4 linked regions of the Xenopus tropicalis genome follow. The protein of the gene in region 3 interacts with the protein of the main gene of each other region in a pairwise test. Links are inferred from orthologs where the notes say so. Each region holds a gene or a part of one and is shown on either strand. Other genes may lie near its edges.

What was found.
Region 1: the proteins of wdyhv1 (region 3) and jup interact in binary tests that used the Homo sapiens proteins (3 or more experiments, as listed by UniProt). The two-hybrid records come from large-scale screens. The link is inferred for Xenopus tropicalis from reciprocal best matches to the Homo sapiens genes NTAQ1 and JUP.
Region 2: the proteins of wdyhv1 (region 3) and c1orf50 interact in binary tests that used the Homo sapiens proteins (3 or more experiments, as listed by UniProt). The two-hybrid records come from large-scale screens. The link is inferred for Xenopus tropicalis from reciprocal best matches to the Homo sapiens genes NTAQ1 and C1orf50.
Region 4: the proteins of wdyhv1 (region 3) and lztfl1 interact in binary tests that used the Homo sapiens proteins (3 or more experiments, as listed by UniProt). The two-hybrid records come from large-scale screens. The link is inferred for Xenopus tropicalis from reciprocal best matches to the Homo sapiens genes NTAQ1 and LZTFL1.

The regions. Positions count from the first base shown.
Region 1 is NC_030686.2:7,397,727-7,403,678, reverse strand, and holds part of jup (junction plakoglobin), read right to left. Parts: intron 3,481-5,952; 5' UTR 3,474-3,480; coding exon 3,272-3,473; intron 32-3,271; coding exon 1-31. UniProt on the Homo sapiens protein: Common junctional plaque protein. The membrane-associated plaques are architectural elements in an important strategic position to influence the arrangement and function of both the cytoskeleton and the cells within the tissue.
Region 2 is NC_030683.2:94,461,901-94,468,320, forward strand, and holds the end of c1orf50 (uncharacterized protein C1orf50 homolog), read right to left. Parts: intron 6,224-6,420; coding exon 6,108-6,223; intron 4,741-6,107; coding exon 4,654-4,740; intron 4,025-4,653; coding exon 3,893-4,024; intron 2,550-3,892; coding exon 2,364-2,549; 3' UTR 1,769-2,363; downstream 1-1,768.
Region 3 is NC_030682.2:139,837,226-139,842,149, forward strand, and holds the end of wdyhv1 (protein N-terminal glutamine amidohydrolase), read left to right. Parts: intron 1-1,880; coding exon 1,881-1,990; 3' UTR 1,991-3,249; downstream 3,250-4,924. UniProt on the Homo sapiens protein: Mediates the side-chain deamidation of N-terminal glutamine residues to glutamate, an important step in N-end rule pathway of protein degradation.
Region 4 is NC_030682.2:64,732,805-64,738,602, reverse strand, and holds part of lztfl1 (leucine zipper transcription factor-like protein 1), read left to right. Parts: intron 1-2,483; coding exon 2,484-2,660; intron 2,661-3,556; coding exon 3,557-3,660; intron 3,661-5,798. UniProt on the Homo sapiens protein: Regulates ciliary localization of the BBSome complex. Together with the BBSome complex, controls SMO ciliary trafficking and contributes to the sonic hedgehog (SHH) pathway regulation. May play a role in neurite outgrowth. May have tumor suppressor function.

The DNA.
Region 1 (5,952 bases), on a different chromosome or scaffold from region 3:
GCTCGAGTCATGTTTATCTGGGCGTCCATGTCTGAAAAGAGAAGATAAATGAGAATTGGGTCGATTTCTCCAACTATTTCATTTGCCAAGTTATCAGGTCATTTTTTTTTCCAAGCAACCATTCCTATCATCTCCTCTAGGTAAATCACAATACCTAGAGCAGACGTTCAAGTTTATTGGGCCAGTACCGGCATGGCTACGCAGTTCCAGTTCAGGTCAATGGAAAGCCAAGATATTTATTTCAGCCATTGGGTGCCATCAGATATATAGAATACAGATAGATGATCTCTCATATATGCAACTGCCAGGGCAAGCCCATCCCAAGCATGAAGGGTGCAGCTTTCTAATCAGAGGGTGTTTTAAAAGGCACGGCTAGAATTTTTTTATATTACATTTTTTAACTTTAATATGAAAAATAAAGCAACTGCCCTTAAAGAAGAAGGAAAGGCTAAATCATTTGGGGGTGCCAAAATGTTAACAGGAGCACAGGCTGGGGCGTGTCAGGTAAGCGATTACAGTCACTGAGGGCAGGGTTGGACTGGGAAAGTGCAGACCCACCGTGGCTGCCACCCCAGGGGCCCCACACACCTCCCGCTGCTTGTACACGCCCCTCACAGGGGCCCTGTCCATCCCTAAAGCATGTATAAGTAGATGCAATCATTCAGAGGAGGGAGGCAGCTGGGATCGGATCTGGGTCGACAGGAGTATATTTCCCAGTGTCCCGCCAGCCCTGTCCGACTCTGACTGGGGGGGGGGGGTCTAACATTTTTTATTAGAAACATTAACATTATTATTTTGTTCCATTTATATTGTGGATCATTCAAAAATGACTTGCTCTGTGGGACTGGCATAGCTGCACACTGCACTGTATGGGCGATACAGCTAACGAGGCTGTTCCCACCAAGGCGCCGGACATGATTCCAAGTGATCGTGTTGCACATATCCAATGAGAGAGATCCCTGGGCCCAATACATTATAGGTGGCATTTCATGCAGCTAAGTGGCATGCACAATACCGAAGGGAAAAGATCCATATTGCGCAGCTATTTTTCCAGCACAGAGCAACTCACCATCATACATCATAGCAGTCAATCTCACTTCTAAACAAACAACAGCTTCCCCTGAGAAACATCAGAATAACTCCTTGGAAGCAGGCCCAGACTGACAGTCAGGAATCTCTGCCAATGCCAGAGGGGCGGCTGGGAGCTGCCATAGTCTGGCGCTTTATATGCGGCTGTTTGGACCTTTGTGTACTTGAAATACCAGGGCCGACTTTGCATCTCAGTTCAGACCTGCTGGGTCAGATCGAATCCATCGGACTAAGTAAAGAGGTTTTGGGACCCGGCCGGCACACTAATGTCTAACAGAAAGCAAACTTGATTTGCATTCCGACTGCCACCTTCCAGCTCTTGTGCAGACGATTATTTGGCCCACGTCATCCATACATCTGTCGCTTGGATAATAGCTGGCAGTGAGTGTGTGGGGAGTTCAAGTTCAATACCACCTGGAAACCACATCTTAAACATTTCCTTCAAGGCTGATTGAAACTGAATAGCAGAGCAATACAAAAGAACTCATTAAGCACTTGTAGCAAAGGGCTAACAGGGACCCTCTGGCTTCATTAAGCCTGGAGCGAGCATCATGGGAAACCCTCATTAGTCTCAAGTCATCTTTTTAGAAGATTGCTTAAATATGCTGTATGCAAGCGCGAGGCAACAATGGAGTCTTTCTTCGCTGGTCCAAGGACGGGATCATTGCCACGCCAGGGCTGCCAGCCAAGCAAGGAGGAAATGTTACAGTTTCCTCTTGGAAATTCACATGGCCCGAATCTGCTATCGGTGCACATACACAAACAATAGTTAGAAGTACTGGCAGAGTTTACTCCCCCGTAGAGCTGTGAAGCAACACTGAATTTATAAAGCCCCTTATAATGCCAGAGCAGTGTTTAAAGGGCAAGTAAACCCCTCACACAAAAATGTAGTGAACAGTCTCTTTGCAATCTTTAAACACCTGTCACTCCGGCTGTTTAAAGGTTAATAGTAAAGCTGTAGCATCCCCTTAATCATTTGGGTTTCCTTCTCCTCCTTTAACCCACTCAGCCCCTTCCCTTAGGAATTTACTTTGGCTGTTGGCTACTGAGCGTGCTCAGTTCAGATTGCTAAACACACCCTCTGGTTCCCACAGAAACTTTGCTCTAGCTGTCGGATTCTATTTTTTTTCTTCTAACTTCCTGATCTGAGCTCAGCTTAAACATATATATATATATATATATATACACACACACACACACACATACACTTAGATTGTAAGCTCTACGGGGCAGGGACCTACTTCTTACTGTGTCTCATACCACATGGCACTTATATATATATTTATTGTATTTATTTATTGTATCACTTGTCCTCCCTGTGTGTAATTTTGTATTCTAAGATTGTACAGCGCTGCGCACCCTTGTGGCGCTTTATAAATAAAGTCATACATACATATACATACATACATACATACATACATACAATACAGTGCTCAGTCCAAGTGGAAGTAAGTTCTGCCTGTGTAAGCCTGCATTCTTCACTGCATAAATTTGCAGTAAATGAAGACATGGCAGAGGGAAAATGGCCGCTGGGTGAATGCTGCTTTTTGTTTAAAGAAAATGTAATGGCACAAAGAGAGGGGATTCAGTACAAAGGATGCCACTTGGGTTGGGGGAAAGTAAAGAGGTTTACTTAGCATCCCCTTAATCATTTGGGTTTCCTTCTCCTCCTTTAACCCCTTCAGCCCCTTCCCTTAGGAATTTACTTTGGCTGTTGGCTACTGAGCGTGCTCAGTTCAGATTGCTAAACACACCCTCTGGTTCCCACAGAAACTTTGCTCTAGCTGTCGGATTCTATTTTTTTTCTTCTAAGTTCCTGATTTGAGCTTAGCTTAACCAATACAGTGCTCAGTCCAAGCGGAAGTAAGTTCTGCCTGTGTAAGCCTGCATTCTTCATTGCATAAACTTGCAGTAAATGAAGATGTGTCAGAGGGAAAATGGCTGCTGCGTGAAAGACGCTTTTTGTTTAAAGAAAATGTAATGGCACAAAAAGAGGGGATTCAGTACAAAGGATGCCACTTGGGTGGGGGGGAAATGTTCTCAACTTATATACATGTTAGGGAAGTGTAGGCTTTATATGCCCTTTAACTTTCCCACTGGAATACCAAGGAGACTCCTGGTGGGCCCAGGAGTCAATGGACCCTCCTAACACCCAGCCGTTTGTCCATTTGTAAAACTGTACCTGGGGTCTGCTGCTGTGTGTACGTCGTGGTTTTAACAGTGTAACTGCCGGGGTAGGCGTGGCTGTCGTCCTCGATGACCATTTTCCCGTTTAACGATGGAGACGCTGTGTTTATTCCAGAATTGATGCCCGAGTCGTAAGTGTAGGTTTTCTGCCACTCTGTGACTTTTATTGGCACTTCCACTACATCCACCAAATCCATTCTACTTCTGTGGAAAGAACATTGAGTAGGGATTAGCGAACTACTGAAGGATTAGCTATCACCATTTCATTCTTTCCCACAACAAATCAGGCATGAACTTTAAGTGTGATACAGACATGGACAATTTGCAATTGGTCCTCATTTTTTATTTTTTTTGTGGTTTTTCAGTTATTTAGAATTTTGTTTAGCGGGTCTCTGGTTTGGAAATTCAGCTGCTGTCTTATTTACCCAGTAACCAGATAGTTAGTGGTTTGAATGAGAGACTGGAATATGAATAGAAGAGGGTCTAAATAGGAAGATGAGGAATTAAAAGTATCGATAGCAATAAAATTGTAGCCTCACAGAGCAATAGTTTTTTGGCTTCAGGGGTCAGTGACCCCCATTTGGAAAGAGGCAGAAGAGGAAGGCAAATAATTAAAAACAAACAATAATAGAAACCAGTTACTAGGAAAAGGCCTTTATATAACATATTAAGATTTAACGTAAAAGTTGAACCACCCCTTTAATAGTGCATCTCTTTTAATATACGTCTGCCTCTCCTACACCTTTGGTAAGGTGCTGTTACACGGGGTGCTTTATTGCCCGGTGGGTTATCTCCTCTCCCCTGGGTGATGCAGCACCTAAATACAAAGCGCCCCCCTATAAACCAATAATGGGCCTTATAAACTGCCCAATGACAATGCAATAATGACCTATCACAATCAGCCTAATACAGTGCCTTACTGCAGTAAAAAATCTCATTGCAGGTATGGGATCCATTATCCGGAAACCCATTATGCAGAGAGTTCCAAATTACGGAAAGGCCATCTCCCATAGACTCCATTATAAGCAAATAATTTCAATTTTATAAAATGGGTTTTCTTTTTCTCTGTAATAATAAAACGGAATCTTGTACTTGATCCCAACTAAGATATAATTACCCCTTATTGGGGCAGAACAGCCCTATTGGGTTTATTTCATGGTTAAATGATTCCCTTTTCTCTGTAATAATAAAACAGTACCTGTACTTGATCCCAACTAAGATATAATTACCCCTTATTGGGGCAGAACAGCCCTATTGGGTTTATTTCATGGTTAAATGATTCCCTTTTCTCTGTAATAATAAAACAGTACCTGTACTTGATCCCAACTAAGATATAATTACCCCTTATTGGGGCAGAACAGCCCTATTGGGTTTTTTAATGGTTAAATGATTCCCTTTTCTCTGTAATAATAAAACAGTACCTGTACTTGATCCCAACTAAGATATAATTACCCCTTATTGGGGCAGAACAGCCCTATTGGGTTTATTTAATGGTTAAATGATTCCCTTTTCTCTGTAATAATAAAACAGTACCTGTACTTGATCCCAACTATGATATAATTACCCCTTACTGGAGGTAAAACAATCCTATTGGGTTTATTTAATATTTTAATTATTTTTAGCAGACTTAAGTTATGGAGATCCAAATTATGGAAAGATCCCTTATCCAGAAAACCCCAGGTCCTGAGCATTCTGGATAACAGGTCCCATACCTGTAATACGATGCACAAGAAATGCAAGAAGAGAAGAGCGGAATCAAGCCTGCCAGTGATATTTGCGGATGATTTACATTCCGTGACGGTTTGCCACAGGCAGTTATTATGATGGCTCATTTTACAGTTCATTTGCTACAAATTTTCTTGTAAGACAATTGTACTAATCAGCCATGTATGTAAATGTATTTATTTAGCGCTACTTATGTATGCAGCGCCGTACAGCGGAATAATAAGAAATGAAACACACAGCTCAGAGCGCAGATGACATTCGTTACCCATGAATATTGCTCTGATACTGCCCCCGTGGATGCCAAACAAGCAGGGATTCGATATATAAGTGACCGCGGCTATAAATGGAAAATAAGCCCTATCTGTCTGTAGTAAGTGTGGGGGTGGGAGTATTCTATAGAATATATGAATTAGTATTTGAGCAGTAAATTCCAATTACAGGTATGGGATCAGTTATCTGGAAACCAGTTATCCAAAAAGCTTAAAATTACGGGATGGCCACCTCCCACCGACTCCATTATAAGCAAATAATTCAGATTTTTGAGACTGATTTCCTTTTTCTCTGTAATGATAAATACAGGCCCGGACTGGCAATCTGTATGTTCTGGTAAATGCCAGAGGGGCTGCTGTCAGATGCCATAGGGAGTCACTATTTATTGGGCGGCTGGGGGGGGCTGTTTGTGCCTCTGGGTTCTGCTGATAACAGGGGGGCTGTAAGATGCCATAGACAGTCACTATTTATTGGGCTGGGGGCTCTTTGAGCTTCTGCCAGGGCATATTTTGTATCCTAGTCCAGACCTGACTAAAAAACAGTACCTTGTCCAGAATGCTCTGGACCGGAGGTTTTCCAGATCAGGAATCTTTCTGTAATTTGGATCCCCATACCTTAAGTCTTCTAAAAAAATTAAACATAAAATAAATCCAATAGGACTGTTCTGCCCCCAATAAGGGG
Region 2 (6,420 bases), on a different chromosome or scaffold from region 3:
TTCATATATCTTTTGTTGGTTATACTGTCCCACAAAGGCTGATACTTGGGCTATAGATAAATGCAGGCCAAGAATGAGCCCCTAAATTGTCATTAGCCTTTCCCTATGCCTGGAGCCATTGCGTTGGCCCAGGTGCAGAAACATGGAGCAAATTTAGGCGCTGCAAGTATGCATTCTGGTGCTAAAATCTGCTCCATATATCTGTACCCGGCTGATGCCAGCAAGGAGGCTGATTCTTGGCATTTGCATTTATCTACAACCTGAGATGCTTAGAATCAACCCTATCTGGCATTAGCCTAAAACTGGATAAAAAAAAAGGTAGTATTGCACTGCATGGTAACCTGACTGCACTTCTACTTTATTTATTACAGTGCAGTTCAAACCTTGACAATATTTAAAAAAAAAAAAAAAGTGAGGGAAGGAAGTCACTAAGCAATTACCTTGATTTACATGGGAAGCAAAACGAGCTTGTGCTAAAGTTAGGAAAATCCTACATTCTCTGCATAGTTAAGAACTGATGTCACAAATGTTTTATAATTTCTGTTACTACTAACAAGAAACACAGCCACTTTCCATTTTATAACAAATGCCTTATCCTTATTCACTTTAAATAGGAAACTTTCTGCTCACAAGGGAAACTTTTTTTTCTCTTCTAATCCTTGTTTGTACTTGAGACACTTAACACTGCAAAGCAAACGGCAATGCTCTGAAAATTAAACTGAAGGGGGCCAGGCACTGCAATACAAACAGTTAAATTTGATTCTCTTGGCAGGAAAGACTCAGTTCTCGCAGTGGCAAACAGTGAGCAAGAAAGGAAATGGTGAATAGTTTGAGGTTCTTAGTGGCTTCCTGGACTAGCAGGCAGATCACAAAGTTCACATGACAAGGGTGATCGGGCTACCAACCCTGTGTGTCACTGAGATTTTTTTTTTCCTTATTCCTCTAAAACTAGGTTCTTTGCATGATAAAAGTGCAACTTCAGTAGTTTATCAGTAATGATTTCTGAATTTTTTTTGTGTGTGTTTTCAAAAATGGTCTTGATTATCACTAAATTAATGTTGGGAAACTCCCAACTCCTAAGTGGAGGAAAAAATATTTATTAGCAAGGAACAGTGAGTAACTGCCTGACCTACAAGTGCATTAGAAGGGTAAAGGTAATTCCCTTTAAACTCAATGAAGGACAAATTGTTTTGCTGCCCCTCTGCCAAGCTGGGAACTTACTTTGAAAAACGATGCTAGTGTGTCCCACAAAATATAACAACGGTTTAGTTGGCCACATTAGATCTCTGCTCTGCGGGTGACTAACCACTCTGAAATGCCTTTCTACCGGCAATAATAGGACTCACTGGTGGAAAGGCCAACACTTTGCTTCGGCTACCTGAAGTCTCGCAGTTTCCTCCTGCAGGCAACTTCAGAAAGCAAAAGTGATGCATAGGCCTTTCCACTGCTGACTCCTATTGTTGCCGGTGGAAAGGCATTTTGGAGCGGTTAGTCGCCTTTGGTAGCAGAGATCTATCGCGGGTGACTAACTTGCTCCGTGGGCCATCAGCCTTATTTATTTTGATGATATTATTCCTTTACCCACCATATGAAAGTTACACAGTAACACCATGTATGGTGAGAGGACTAGCAATGGACCCTCTAAAAGCACTTACACCTTCAATGTAAACTGTGGAGAAGTTCTTACAATTTGTAACATCAGTGGTTTAGTGCCTCCTCCCCTGCCAGGATTTCAAATGCAGCAGAAAGAGCTGTTTTGTAGATGAAATTCAGCATATGAAAATGGTATTTATTAATATGTTTAGAAGGAACAGATTACAGTAATAGGTATATTAGGAGTTTGTGTTGTGTGGGGCACTTTAACAAGTTTAAGGCAAATAGCAAATACCATCGATATCAATAAACCAGACCAACGCCTTCTTGTTCAAATGCATAATTTTTGGATTCAGCTACATTCTGTATCCTCCATTTGGACAATATTCCCAACAATAAAACCCATCATAATGTATGGTTACCTGGCTGCACTTCTACTGTAAGTCTTTATTATCAGGGCATTTTGCCAAACAATGACAATAAAAAAAAAATATATATTTTGAGGGTGGAAACTTTCTGCTAACAAAAGATGGCTTAAAAAAAATCTCAGTTTGTACGAGTATAAAAAAAACTGAGCTAAGTAAAAATAAACTTAAAACCAATTCTCTTGGCAGGAAAGACTCTCAGTGCGCAAAGGTGACCAACAAGTGAGAAAGGAAGTGATAAACAGTTGTTGGTGACATCCCCGATTTGCAGACAGATCACAGACAATGCCACAAATTCACATTAGAGGTGATAAGGCTTCAGTTACCCAGGTATCACAGATATATTTAATTTGTTAATCCTCTAAAGTTGGGTTCTTTGCATGATGGAAGTGCCACTTGTTCATTCAATAGTTTATCAATAATGCTGATTTCTGCATCTCTTTTTTCTATGTTTTCAAATGGTGTCCAGGACATGTCATGCTGAAGCTTGTAAGCAGCAAGGAATTCATGTGGGCAACTAGGGCCCCACTCCTAATAGAGAAAAGGGAAAGAAAAAATATTTGTAAGAAACCTGAAGTGTGTTTGCGTAATAATCACTTGACCTCTGAGTACACTGGCAGGTACAAAAGATACCGTATATATACTCGAGTATAAGCCGATCCGAATATAAGCCGAGGTACCTAATTTTACCTAAGAAAACTGTAAAAACTTATTGACTCGAGTATAAGCCTAGGGTGAGAAATGCAGCAGCTTCTGCTATGTTTCAGTAATCAAAATAAATACCAATAAAATTACATTAATTGAGGCATCAGTGGGGTATATGTTAAATATTTATTTCAAAGAAAAACAGTAAATTAGCTCTGTAAGTGGAGAAGAGGGTCAACAAAAACAATAGGCACTGGAGGATCTGGTTGCGGGTGGCCTAATTTGCACACAAAGGAGAGAGGGTGCTAGTCTAGAGGGACCCATGGCACCCAACTCAAGTATAAGCCGAGGGTGACTTTTTCAGGACATTTTGGGTGCTGAAAAACTAGGCTTATACTCGAGTATATACAGTAAGTCAGAGGATGAGCAATTCCCTTGGTTTGCTACCTGCCAAGCAGGAAATCATGCGGCTATCAAAACACTGGGAATCTCCCCTGGTGCCGTTGTTCAAAGCAAGGCTCAGCTAGAATCAGTATTCAATAAACCATATATTAGTGTGTACTAGAAAATATTAATATAAAACCGCTTTGTGTGTTTGAATAAATATGAATATATGCTAGGAAATGTGATAGAAAAGTTCTAAGTTATTATTTTAGTAAAATAATATCTTTGTCGATAATGTTGCTTTACCCACTAGGGAAAAGCTACCCTGTAAAACTGTAGCCTTGGCAGGTATGGCAAGAAGACCTGCAATGAGCCCTGTGGTTACTGGGTTATGGCTGACTAGCACACTAACACTTTACACCATGGTAACAAATGCTGATGCTTACTGCCAGATAGGTATTTTTTTCTATCACAAAACAATCAATGAATCTAAGCCTCAAATGTTTATCTTACATAGCAGATAACTAATTGTCCATTCAAAAAATGACTGCTTTTGTAGTGAAATTATAGGTACAAAAGACTAAATTTGTCCACATACAAAGGAATTATTCGATAGACTGACTGATCATTATTCCATGTATGTGGCCCTATGTGACCCTCAACTTAACCTTTAAACTATCAGCAGCAGATGAACCAGCTGACTGGGAAGCTAAAATAGCCACAGTTCTGATGCCAAAGTAGAAATGAAACAATAGTTCTTCCCACAGATAAAAAAGATCTGAGATCCCATCCATGAGTCTTATCATTGTACAGTCAGTGACACAACAGGTGCAGGATTCTCTTACCTTTGGTGACAGAATTGAGAAATATCTCTGTCCACTTTCCCGCTGGTAGAGATAATAAATATTTCCTGGCTTTTTGACAACATTGCAAGCTGCGTGGTGCAAATCAGCATCTCTCTTGGCTTCCTCCAGCACCTACATCGAGTGAATAAAATTAGTACTCATCTGGTTCTAGTAAAAGGTTTTATCCATCTACAACTGTAAATTCACAATACAAAAAGGAAAGCTGAGCACACAGCTACTAATTTAAAATGTTGGTCCCTTCCCACAATTCACACTAAAGCAACATAAGTTGAGCAGCAGACTTCCTGCATGATCATACTGAGGCAACTACCAATAAAGGGTGTCTAAATTACAGTGAGGAGGTCACTGTCACTAGAATACTAAACAGAACAGCAGGTAAGCCAGGAAATATATTTGCTACACCAAATACCTAGTTGTTTAAAGGACAAGAAAAGCTCCTTTTAAGATAAAAAAAAAAATAATGCTGCTTATTATTTCTGCTTACTTCCCTTTATTCTATTTTCTCATTGCGTACTTTTTTCAATTTTATATATTTTCACCATATATCTATGCATGTATAACTATTCACCATGGGAATGTAATGTAATCAGTCCTCATGTTCTCCAGTGCAAATAAACCCTCAATCAAGTATTTTATGTTTTTTTATGTTTTACATACTGAGAAAAGCTATTAACTTTGTAGCTTAATTGTATTTTACTTTACAATAATGAAACTCAATTTAAACACAGTTGAATATTTACCCTTCTAGCTTGTTCCTGCAGCATGCGGATCTGCTCAGCTATAACAGTCAATCTGTTACATGCATTGGCTCTGACAAATTCATCAGCCTGTTGATGAAATACAGTATAAACATGAATATATACACTCTGCAATACACAACTGGTTGTCTCATTTGCTTTGCATTACTTTCTTTTGGGGGTTTTCCAGATAAGGGGTCTTTTCAGAAATCTGATCACCATACCTTAAATCTAATTTGAAAAAAATTATATATTTTAATCCCAGTAGGATTGTTTTGCCCCCAATTTGGATTAATTATATTTTAGTTGTGATCAAGTACAAGATACTCTTATTATTACAGAGAAAAAGGAAAGCATGTTTTTCAAAAATGAATTATTTCAGTAAATTAAAGTCTATGGGAGATGGCCTTCCTGTAATTTGGAACTTTCTGAATAACAGGTTTGTGGAAAACCAATACCATACCTGTAATTCCAATTTTTTTTTATAAATGATTTCCTTTTTCTCTGTAATAATAAAACAGTACATTGTACTTGATGGTAACTAGCTGTGTGAATCCATATTGGTGGCAAAACAGTCCTAATAGGTTTGTTTAGGAGATCTGATCTAAATTACAGAAACATCCATTATCAGCAAAAAAAAAATAAAAACCCAGGTCCCAAGTATTCCAGCATTTATTTTTTTTTGCAGTGATCAAGAGAAATAGACAAAAGATTAAATTAATTGCAATGAAAAAAAACACAAGATTATATAAGCATACACCCTCTTTTAGTCAGTATTTAGTGAAGAGCCTTTTCCCATATCCAGCCATTCATTCTCTATTGGACTAAGATCTGGACTCCCTTCCTAGCCATTCCAGGACATTAGCCACTGTGTCATATTAAGGGGGTGTATAATTAAGTAATCAATTAAATAAACAAAATTGAATCCCCTGTGATTCCATGTTCGATGACGATAAAATGTGAAAACCTCCAAAAGGATAAATGCTTTTTTTTATAAGTACCTTAATCCAACAAGGAGGCACTTTAGTTCTAAAATAAGTGGTTCCTTAACTGTGGGATTACTCTCCTAGGCAAACCCAGAAAAGTGGCTGGGAAGGGCAACATTCCATATATAACAAAGTTAGGGTGAGATTTGGAGAGATTGCCTAGTTGCTCTTCTGGATAGTCCTTTAAAGGAACAGTAGCCCCAAAAATGGAAATGCTTAAAAGTAATTACAGTATAATGTACTGTTGCCCTGCACTGTTACAGCTGGTGTGTTTGCTACAGAAAGACTACTATAGTTTATATAAGCTGCTGTGTAGCCATGGGGGCAGCCATTCAAGATGGAAAAAAAGGAGAAAAGGCACAGGTTACATAGCAGATAAACTCTTTAGAATATAATGGAGCTTTATCTATTATTATATATATTTCTTAAAGTTTCTTGCCAAAAAACATCCAAAACCTTATTAGCCCTTACCTTTTGCACTTGCCGCGCAAGATCCACAAGGTTAGAGGGGTCTCCAATGCGATTGGTTTGATAAGTGCTAACTAACTGAACCCCCGTAGGATTAGCGTTACTTTCTACTAGAGCCACTGAAAGACAAAATATAAAATGATTTTAACTGAAATCAACACACCAAAATGTAGAAGTGCACGATCATTTTGTTTCCTAATGCTCAACACTTTGGGGCTGATTTACTAACCCACGAATCCGACCCGAATTGGAAAAGTTCCGACTTGAAAACGAACATTTTGCGACTTTTTCGTATGTTTTGCGATTTTTTCGGATT
Region 3 (4,924 bases):
ATACTCTGCCTGCCCTATGCTGCCTGTGAAAGGTGAACCTGGCAGGGGTTTGTTCTGGGAGTTTGTTAGTAGTTGGAAACAGCCATTAAATGGTCCCTAAGGTGTGTAATTATGTTGCTGAGGGTTGCTGTGCTATCCACAGGGGAGGAGGAGGCATATGGATTTAAGGGTGTGTCTTAATATGACATAATATAATTCTTTCATATATGAATAACTGGTGATATCCCTGGAGTGAGGACCAAACATTTGGGTTTTTGCTGCACTACCACCATTGTGATAAAATGGGTGTGGCTCGAAGTGGGTGTGGTTCAAAAAAGGGGGAGTGGCCAACACTGGCTTCAATTAGCGGCCCTCCACCATGTATGCTAGAGAAATTCCGGCCCTCGGCACCGCAGAAGTTGGACAGCACTGATCCAAACGATTACAGACACTTTATCAAGTAACTCTGCATCATTACAACTCTACCTCCTTAAGCTCCTATTCACCATTGAAAACAGTTACAACTGTCCAGCCTTTTGTTTAGAACTAAGAACTTGGATACCTCATATCAGCCTATTTGCTCTACTCTGGGCTCTTTTATTTTGAGCAATGTCTCTTTTAAAGGAACAGTAACACCAAAAAATGAAAGTGTATAAAAGTAACTAAAATATAATGTGCTGCTGCCCTGCACTGGTAAAAGTTGTGTGTTTACTTCAAAAAGTCTACTATAATTTATATAAATAAGCTGCTGTGTAGCCATGGAGGCAGCCATTCAAAGGAGAAAAGGCACAGGCACATAGCAGATAACAGAGAAAACACTATTGTATTCTACAGAGCTTATCTGTTATCTGCTATGTAACCTGTGCCTTTTCTCCTTTTTTCCAGCTTGAATGGCTGCCCCCATGGCTACACAGCAGCTTATTATATAAATTATAGTAGTGTTACTGTAGCAAACACACCAGTTTTACCAGTGCAGGGCAACAGTGCATTATATTTTTATTACTTTAAAGCTCTTTCATTTTTTGGTGTTACTGTTCCTTTAAGTATTGCAGACCAAACCGTCACTGCAGTTGCTTGATGGGACATTACCAGTTCTCTGTAAAGGGGGAGAATCACCCTCTCTTCCATGAACCCTAAGAACCTCTGTAAATTTATACTCATAAAATACGGGACAGTACGTTGCTGACCCTTTCTGCTTCTGATTGGCTTTACTTCCTACAGCTAAAGTTATTATCCACAAGTAATCTGACCTTCTCTATAAGTGACTAAAGGTCACTTCAGACAGCATATCTGCCCGTGTATGTGCCTGCCTATGGGATGACTGGCAGGCCACAAGTATCCAAACCCTATCATGTTATAATTTCCCTTTAAGAACACAGATTGGGGTATGGCCTAGCAGTTGGGTAGGTGCTTCACAACATAACAGGCATCATCAGCAAAACTGGTCTAAAAAAATCTTACTCTCCATTGGACTCCGCCACTTGGGGTTTAGCAGGGATAGCTCTCTAGGTTTTTTCAAAGCCAGCACAGAGAGTTATCAGTCAGCTGTAGCCTATACAATAAAACCCCCATTTTACATTTTAGGGAACCAGTAAAAATTGGTGTAAAAACCAGAAAATATAAAATCGGGAGAAATTAATTATATATTGGTGGGACGTACTTCCCCCAAAGTGATTGTGAATAGTATATTTTCCTTCTGCTTTTTATTTCTACTGATAATTATTAGCCGTGCCATTGTCTCTCAGGCTAGCCACCGCCTTTATTATTAATTCTCGTCACCTTCCTACAGTGTTACAATCTTAGATTAAAGTGACCTTTCAAGATACAGCATTTTAGTGTAGCACATATGTGTTCTTCCAGTTTAATTAGATTTCCATTCCCTTAATTGTTTTTCTTTCTAGAATCCACAATGAACTTGGGCGATTTTATCAGCATGAACCCTGAGGTTGGATGGGGCACAGTATATTCCTTGGCAGAGTTTACAGAACGCTTTGGTGACGCAACAGTCTGATTCACAAATCATTGAAAGGTTTTGTGAAAGCAGCAATGCCCACTGTGGCTGAGGAAGTAAGAAGCCATTGTTCTTAAAGTTTCCAGTCCACATGATTAATTCATCTCTCCGAGTGTTCCAGGAGTTGCACTTGGGTGTCAAATTCAGATAAAATGAATTTAATCCCTGTGCCTGCCGGATTAAGCAGTTCCATCTGAAAGCTCTACTTTATATACAATGTTTTTCACCAGCGCTGGCAGTAATTGGTACTTTAAGGGCAACTATACCTTCAAATATTGCAGCAATTACGGCAATACATAACGGTGGCATATTTTTTATGGTATGTTTCTGCTGGCTATAGAAAAACATAGGGGACAGTCTTGCAGAATTGTGTAGGGATATCTATTCTGCCACAGTTATACGCTGTCTCTGTGAAGCTTAGGAGGCTGTTCCTGCTGAATTGTAGGGCACTAATTGCCAGAAAAAATTCAGATACATTTCAGGCTGCCACAAGCCTTTTATCTACCTTGATTAGTGCTGTACAGCACTGCAGCAATACAACATTGACTGAAAATAGGTGTCTTGGTATGTGCTCCTTATTGGCTGAAATAATTTGGACTGGTTACTGAAATGAAGTTAATGAAGGGGAGCAACCATGACTGCATACTTTTATATAATGTCACAGCAATATTTGGGTTGTGGTCAGTCCATTTACAACTGACCATGACCCAGTAACGGTATACCGCGCTCCTGATCTGTCAGACCACATCCCGTTCTGTCCTTTCGTTTGGGATTATAATATAAATTAAGACGGCTGTAGTGAAATATTGTGGCAAGCCAGCCTGAATAGAAGATGTGGCTATAATGGGAAGAGGAAACACGAATAGCTTCAAAGTGACGCAAATAAAATCAACATATATCCTAATATCCAAGAATTTAATATCCTAACCGGAAGAAATATAGCAAAAATTGTCTAGCAGAGCTCCTGGATCTGTTTGCAAAAACAAAATTCTTGTCCCCATTCAGTCACCATGATGGCTTAGTTTATAGGGTTAATATGCAGTGACAAGGGTCAGGATTGCTCTGAATGAAACCGTATTCATTTGCCCATGTTCTTAAGAAAAGTCTGTTATACAGTAAGTGAAATAAATAAGCACAATAAAAGATGTCCTATATGAAAGTAAAAAAACACACAAGTGAAGCTCAATTTTATTGCTTTATTGATTTAGATGTATGGCGAGTACCATATGCCAAGAGAATTATACTGATTTACAAATACATATTGCCACGTTTTTATTCTTTGGGTTATTGGGTACATTTGAAGTGTAAGAAATATGGTAACTGATCTCATAGGTTTGCACAAATCTGACATTTCTCCACTTGAGGTTTGAGAAGAACAGCGGCTGCCACTTTGAGTCTTCAAAATGTTTTTGGAAGAGAAAGAGATTTTGTTGCAGCGCTTCATTGTGTAAGAGCTGGGAGACCCTGGGGATGGAGAGTAGAACCTTTTGCACAACATATTGGAAAATGGATGGAAGGCTCAGTGACAGATGGAACACTAACCAGAAATAGGGCTCAGAAAAGAATATTTTTATCATTAGATTACTGTTAAGGGTTCGTTTATGCATAACTCATTTTTATTGCCATTTTTATCAGACATCAGGATTCCCATACTACATGTTTTACACAAATCTCTGGAGCGTATTTAGCAAAACGAGAGTGAAAACATGCCCCAGATTTCTCCAAAATCCTTCAGCCCTCCATCTGAGCATATAGTCCTATAATTATCTTGGGCGCATTTTTCTGGAAATAACTGAAACAATGATTGTGCCACCTGTAAGCAGAGAGTGGCCCCTCAGTGTATGTAACTGGTGGGGCTGTAGGGGAATCATTGGTGATGGGCGTTCACTGTAGGTACCTACAGAAGCCAGAGAGGCGTTTTCTTGTCCCTAGTTAGGACTGTCTGTGGATAAATACAGGTATGGGATCTATTATCCAGAATGCTTGGGACTTGGGATTTTCCGGATAAGGGTTTTTTCCATAATCTGGATCACCGTTCACAAGTCTACTAAAAAATAATATTAACATTAAATTACCCCAATAGGATTGTTTTGCCTCCAATAAGGGGTAATTATATCTTAGTTGGGATCAAGTACAGGTACTGTTTTATTATTACAGAGAAAAGGGAGTCATTTAACCATGAAATAAACCCAATAGGGCTGTTCTGCCCCAATAAGGGGTAATTATATCTTAGTTGGGATCAAGTACAGGTACTGTTTTATTATTACAGAGAAAAGGGAATCATTTAACCATTAAATAAACCCAATAGGGCTGTTCTGCCCCCAATAAGGGGTAATTATATCTTAGTTGGGATCAAGTACAGGTACTGTTTTATTATTACAGAGAAAAGGGAATCATTTAACCATTAAATAAACCCAATAGGGCTGTTCTGCCCCCAATAAGGGGTAATTATATCTTAGTTGGGATCAAGTACAGGTACTGTTTTATTATTACAGAGAAAGTGGAATCATTTAAAAAAAAAAAAAAAATTATTTGCTGAAAATTGAATCTATTAGTACATTAATCAATGGACCTCTTTATATGAACCTGTTATTACAGAGTAACATCAGCTGTTGCACACACAAGGGGAGGCTTGTGTTCATGGGGGCCCCATATGAATAACTTGTATGGAGCCCCAAAGTTTCTGATGGCGGCACTTTATGCACCAGTATGGGGTACTTTAAGTCTCAGCTCCACATTGCCATGCTCTCCTGGTTCCCCAGCAATCTTCAGTCCTGGAGCTTGCACAGTACATACCTTGGCAAAAAAATTCTGTACATGGCATTTGCTTGCCCAGGCGGCACTGATGATGGAGAGACCAAGGTGTAAGTTCAGCTAAAGTCTTGCCTGTACTGGTCCCAGTTGGGCTGGTCACAACTTTCCTTTTTTTCTCCC
Region 4 (5,798 bases), about 75 Mb from region 3:
AAAACTATAAAACACATGTTGGAGAATTTACTAATGTTTGGTGATTAATTTTAATCTGAATAAGGTATTTAATTGATGGATGTCCCTCATTTTTTATGTTTATAAGTAGGTAACAATAATTTTTTACCTTGGTATTCTAATAAAGATGTGCTTTTGAAGGGATTTCCTTCATTAAGTGTAGATCAATTTTTTAGCATTCCAGTAATGCAGGCACACACTCTTAACTGTTACAATTTGCTACATGTGAAACAGCATTCTAGGAGCTAAAGATGGTCACATAATACTTACCGTGCATGAGAAATTATATTCTTACTCCAGCATAGAAGACTTAGGTGTTTTCATGTGCTATTTGCATTATAGAGTGACTTTTACAGTCTGATTATGTACTAATCTGGTCTCTTTGTGTGTCCTGTTACTTGAGTGGCTAAGCAGGAAAACAGAATCACTTTTAAGGCAGTGAAATTCTAAGTGAGATAGTTTTAAACAGAAATTGTGCATGAATTGGTGGACAGTAAGAAATAGTCTAATTGTTGGGGGACAGGGTAAGACATGAAATAAACTAAAGGGACATGACAAAATGGTATATGAACTGGGGAAGAGAGAGTAATAGCATAGGAAAGCAAGGAAAGATATTGACATGCCATACAAGTCTGAGAAGGCTTGCAAAGGTAGTGTTAAATTAAGAGTGAAAAACACACTCAAACCCAGCGCTTCTTGGTGTATAATCCGTATGTGAATTGAATGTTCAAAATGCTGTAGACCGTAGTTACGTGCTGCTTCCTCTTGGTGTCAGCTCCCCTCCTAGATGAGCTTCAGAAAGTGCATATATGTGTTTGATTGGAAGCGCATAAAAATAGAAACAAAAAACAAAAAACAAAATATAGTGCAGATCAATGGGATAATGAAGGATCTTAATCACCACACGTGCTTAATAATGTACTGGTTAAAACGTGTTGACCCAACTCCGTAATAGATGAGATACAATAAATGCTCACCAGAAAAACATGAGCCAAAGCATATAGGTCCAACCCCACGGGGCAGTTGATTGGAGGCAGGTCAGATACCTCAAATATATGTAGAGCAAAAGAGGAGGCGATAATAGTGTAAAACCGTTTAATATAGATATAAAACCCTGCTCAATGCAGGCTACTTACAGTGTAGCAGAGATAAAAAGCAGTGAATAAAAGTCTCGAGTAGCTCAACGCGTTTCGCGTGTTCTCTACACGCTTCCTCAGGAGAAATTGTAAACGGCGGAAAAACCAATCCGATTTTTGCGCGACGGCGATGAAAAAAAAACGCAAAAATACCGATCATTACAGAAAAAACGCATTCGGACGTTCGTGGATTAGTAAATGTGCCCCTATGTGTGACTGGTTTGTGATAAACAATGGCGAAGTTGATTTGATTTTTTTCCGGTGAGATTAGGGACTGATACCCAAAGGTTTCAACAAGCCAGCCCAACCTGATTGGAAATAATAGGTAGATAATCCAGTTACCCTGGCACCTATACGTCTCCCCATCCCTGCATAAAAAAAGAGCCCCAAAGAGAGACTTGGAGTCAGACTTCAGAGAGCTAGAGGAAAGGATTCCTGCACTTTGCATCAACCAGTTCAGTTACTTTTCGGCCATTATTTTCTTCAGACTGTGGATTTACTTCTGTGGGACTTTGGAACTGCCTTTTTGCTCTTTTACATCCTTAGAAGAATTTGTTGCTGTGTGATGTCATTGGACTTTACAAAAATAAAGTGCTAGAATGCTCCAAGGCTTCTCTCCAGTGTTTGAGCATATGGTTGTTAGGTTATTTTCATGACAATATGTTTAAAAATTAAAACTGAAAAACTAAATATTTATATATAATATCTAAAAGCTGTACTTTCCAGATATTATACCATATGCTCTTCTATATGCATATTAAGTTGCTTATTCTGTTAAATTTATAAAACAAAGCACCTTAAAAACACATCCATGCATACATACATACATACATACATACATTTTATATATGAAAGTATATTTGTATTTATATAATGATACTTATGTACATAGCTCTGTACAGTAGAACAATAAATTAATAGAACGAACAGGTCATCTCAATAATAATTATAAAATACAGTTACATTTAAGAGTAAGTACTTAGGGGCCTGTTTACTAAGTTTTAAGATAAATATCACTGGTGATGTTGCAACCAATAAGATCTTTGCTTTTGTTTTCTAACTTCTAGATGACTGTTTAAAACTAATTTCTGATTGATTGCTATGGGCAACATCACTGGTGATATTTTTCTTCAATCTTCATAAATATGCACATAAGTGTCAGAGACAAGAGGAACCCCGTAGAGCTTACAATCTAAATGTGTGTGTATATATACTTTCTTTTATGGGTTGTTTTTTTTTTACCTGTATTGTATTGTACCTTGTATTCTCTACAACTAATATTCTACTTGCATTGTTTTTCATAACTGTGTAATGTTTTATCTTCTTTAGGCAAAACAGAATACTCAGGATATCAATATTTTGGAGAAGACCATGGCAGATCTCAAATGTGATTTTGAGAAAACTGTTAATGACCACACAGTCAGTCAAAAATATTTGGAAGATAATTTAGCTTCTACAAAACATGAACTGCTCAGAGTCCAAGAACAGCTTTCTTCGGCAGAAAAGGTATGTATGCATATCTTTGTAAAGCACTACTTATGTACACTGTACAGTAGAACAATAAATTCATTACAATAATAGATACATACAAGTATGATAATAAATACAAATAAATATGAGGTACAGTTGTAATAAGTTAAGAATCAAAGAGAAAAGAAGATCGAGGTCCCTATCCCATAGAGCAGGGGTCCCCAACCTTTCTTACTCGTGAGCCACAGTCAAATGTAAAAAGACTTGGAGAGCAACACAAGCATCATAAAAATTCATGGAGGATCCAAATAAGGGCTAAGATTGCCTATTAGGTAGCCTCTGTGCACACTATCAGCTTACAGGAGACTTTATTTGGTAGTAAATCTTGTTTTTATCAATCAAAACTTGCCACCAGGAATTCAAAAATAACTACCTGGTTTGGGGGCACTGAGGGCAACACCCAAGGGGTTGATGAGCAACATGTTGCTACGAGCCACTGGTTGGGGATCACTGCAATAGAGCTTACAATCTAAATAGAAGGGTAACTTGCAGACACAAATAGGAGGATAATATTGCTGCAGGTTACAGTGGGCGACACTGCTATATACAGCTAAGGAGACAGTGCTGGAGGGCCACAGGAAGAGAGAGAGAAAAGGGAGCCACACAGTAAAAGATCACTGTCAGGGCATCCACAGATCCTCCGTTGCCACACTTAGAATGTTTTCATGTCCTACTTAACTGAAGCTGAAATATAACAATACTGCATTGTCCTTTGTTTTCAGCATAATAAACATTTTTTAATCTAATCTGATCATCCTCTACTATATGGGTGTCTTCCTTTCATTTCATTGTTTGCTTTTAGCTTTATTTAAGATTTTTCTTTACTGAACTTGCATTGTAACAGGAGTATTCATGGGTTATTTCCCAAACAGGAGTTAGAAAAGAAATTTCAGCAGACTGCTGTTTATCGCAATATGAAAGATATTCTTACAAAGAAGAATGATCAGATCAAGGACTTGCGCAAGAGGCTTCAAAAGTAAGTTTGTTTTTTTATTTACAGAATTTTCCTTTAATTACTTTAGTAATTTAAAGGGGAATTTCATTGCAAAGAATTTGAACATTTTTTTCTTGTGCAATCTGATGTTTACTTGATAACTGTAGTCTGATGCACCTCCCCATGATTCTGATTTCCATATGACTGAACAGACCTTGTTAAAACATATTGAAAAGCGACCAGATGTGCATAACTGGGTGTCAATGTACTATATCAGGTGTGTGGTCTATAGACTCGTGTTTTAAAAAAAAACTTAAGTGTTTGGAGTTATTATTAATCCAGCATTAATATAGATATAAACAACAACCACTATTTGAATATATACTTACTGTAAGCCTAGAGAGCTGATCTGTATTGTCCTAGTAGCAAATATCTAAATAGGGCAGTGGTAAAAAAAAAAGTTGTGCTCAAATAGCTACGGAAGTATATTACAAACATGTAAAGAAAGATACAGTAATATGTGAAAAAATATTATCGATTAGCGAACCTAAACATTTCTTTTTAAAATCCCTAAAAAGACGCTGTGTTTTTAAACACAGAAGCTGAAAAACAGGTCAAATCTGGAAATTCCTTATCTAGCACAAATCTCTACTTCTTTACTATACTGAACTTTCCATCTCATTTAATTAGGAATCCAGTCATAGAGCTGTCTGCTGAGCATGCTTGCTGGCTCCTGCCCCAGTGGAAATCAGACATTCACAGTGGACAGCCCTTTGACCAAATTCCTATTTATACGAGAAAGAAAGCTCAGTATACTAAAGGAATGAAGCTTCAAACTAGATAAGGAAGTTATTGGGTTTTAGTTGCAGTTTTCAGCTTCTATGTTAGAAGCTTCGACAACCTTAATATAGGGAGAGAGATGTCATTTTTATTCTTTATATATTGCAAGATTCAATTCACTTGTACATTTAGACTTTTTTTTGTTTGGTTTTTATTTACAGTTTTTTTGGTGACGTTGTCTCTCTGCCCTTTATTAAATATATATCTGCAATATAAATACCAAACACATTCAAATTTAACTGAGCGGTAGAGCACTGAGTAAAGTTTCTGCTTTAACCAAGTTTCATTTGTTGGAAAGATGACTTGACATATTCATCTCTAATACTCTAGAACAGTGCTGTCCAACTTCTGTGGTACAGAGGGCCGGAATTTTTCCGACCTACCTGGTGGAGGGCCGATAATGGAAGACAGTTTTGACCACTCCCCTTTTTGAAACCGCACCCACTTGAAACCACACCCATGTTATCACATGACCACACCCATATTAATGGTTGTAGTACAGCAAAAACCTGCCATACTCTGCCTTCCCTACCCTGCCTGTGTGTGCGCCATACTCTGCCTTCCCTACCCTGCCTGTGTGTGCCATACTCTGCCTTCCCTACCCTGCCTGTGTGTGCCATACTCTGCCTTCCCTACCCTGCCTGTGTGTGCCATACTCTGCCTTCCCTACCCTGCCTGCATGTGCTATACTTTGACTGTGTGTGCCATTCTTGGCTGGTTTGTGCCATACTTGGCCTGTGTGTGCCATACTCTGCTTGCCCTATGTGTATGGCACACACAGGCAGCATACAGTGACACAATGCTGGCACTGCTCCTACAGTCTGCACAATAACTATATATTAAAAAACTTTTTAATTGCAGTACCACTTCAGTATATGTTCTTTTTGTAGTGTGCAGGGATTATTTGTGAGATTATTTGTGGGTCTGAGGTGTGAACAGGGGAACAATGTGGGTGATTACAGCCTGAGCTGTGTGAACACTGCAGGGGGTGAACAATGCAGAACCATGCAGGGGGGCAGTTAACCACAGTACTGATACCATTTAAATCTTACACAAAGGTAAGCCATCAAAGCAGCCAGACAGGTGGGGGGCCACACAGAGGGGGGTTGCGGGCCGCCAGTTGGACAGCACTGCTCTAGAGTATAGAGATGTAAGTGATGTCCTTTAGAATGTTTTGGCAGCTTATCTGCCCATGTATGGCCACCACCAACAGGACACCCTGACCGACATCTGGCCAAAATAGATCTCTATCGGGCAGATTTGATCAGCTTATTGATGCAGTCCCTGATCAGACGGTGCCTATGCCCACCGTTTTTAATCAGATAATTTGGGCCGATATT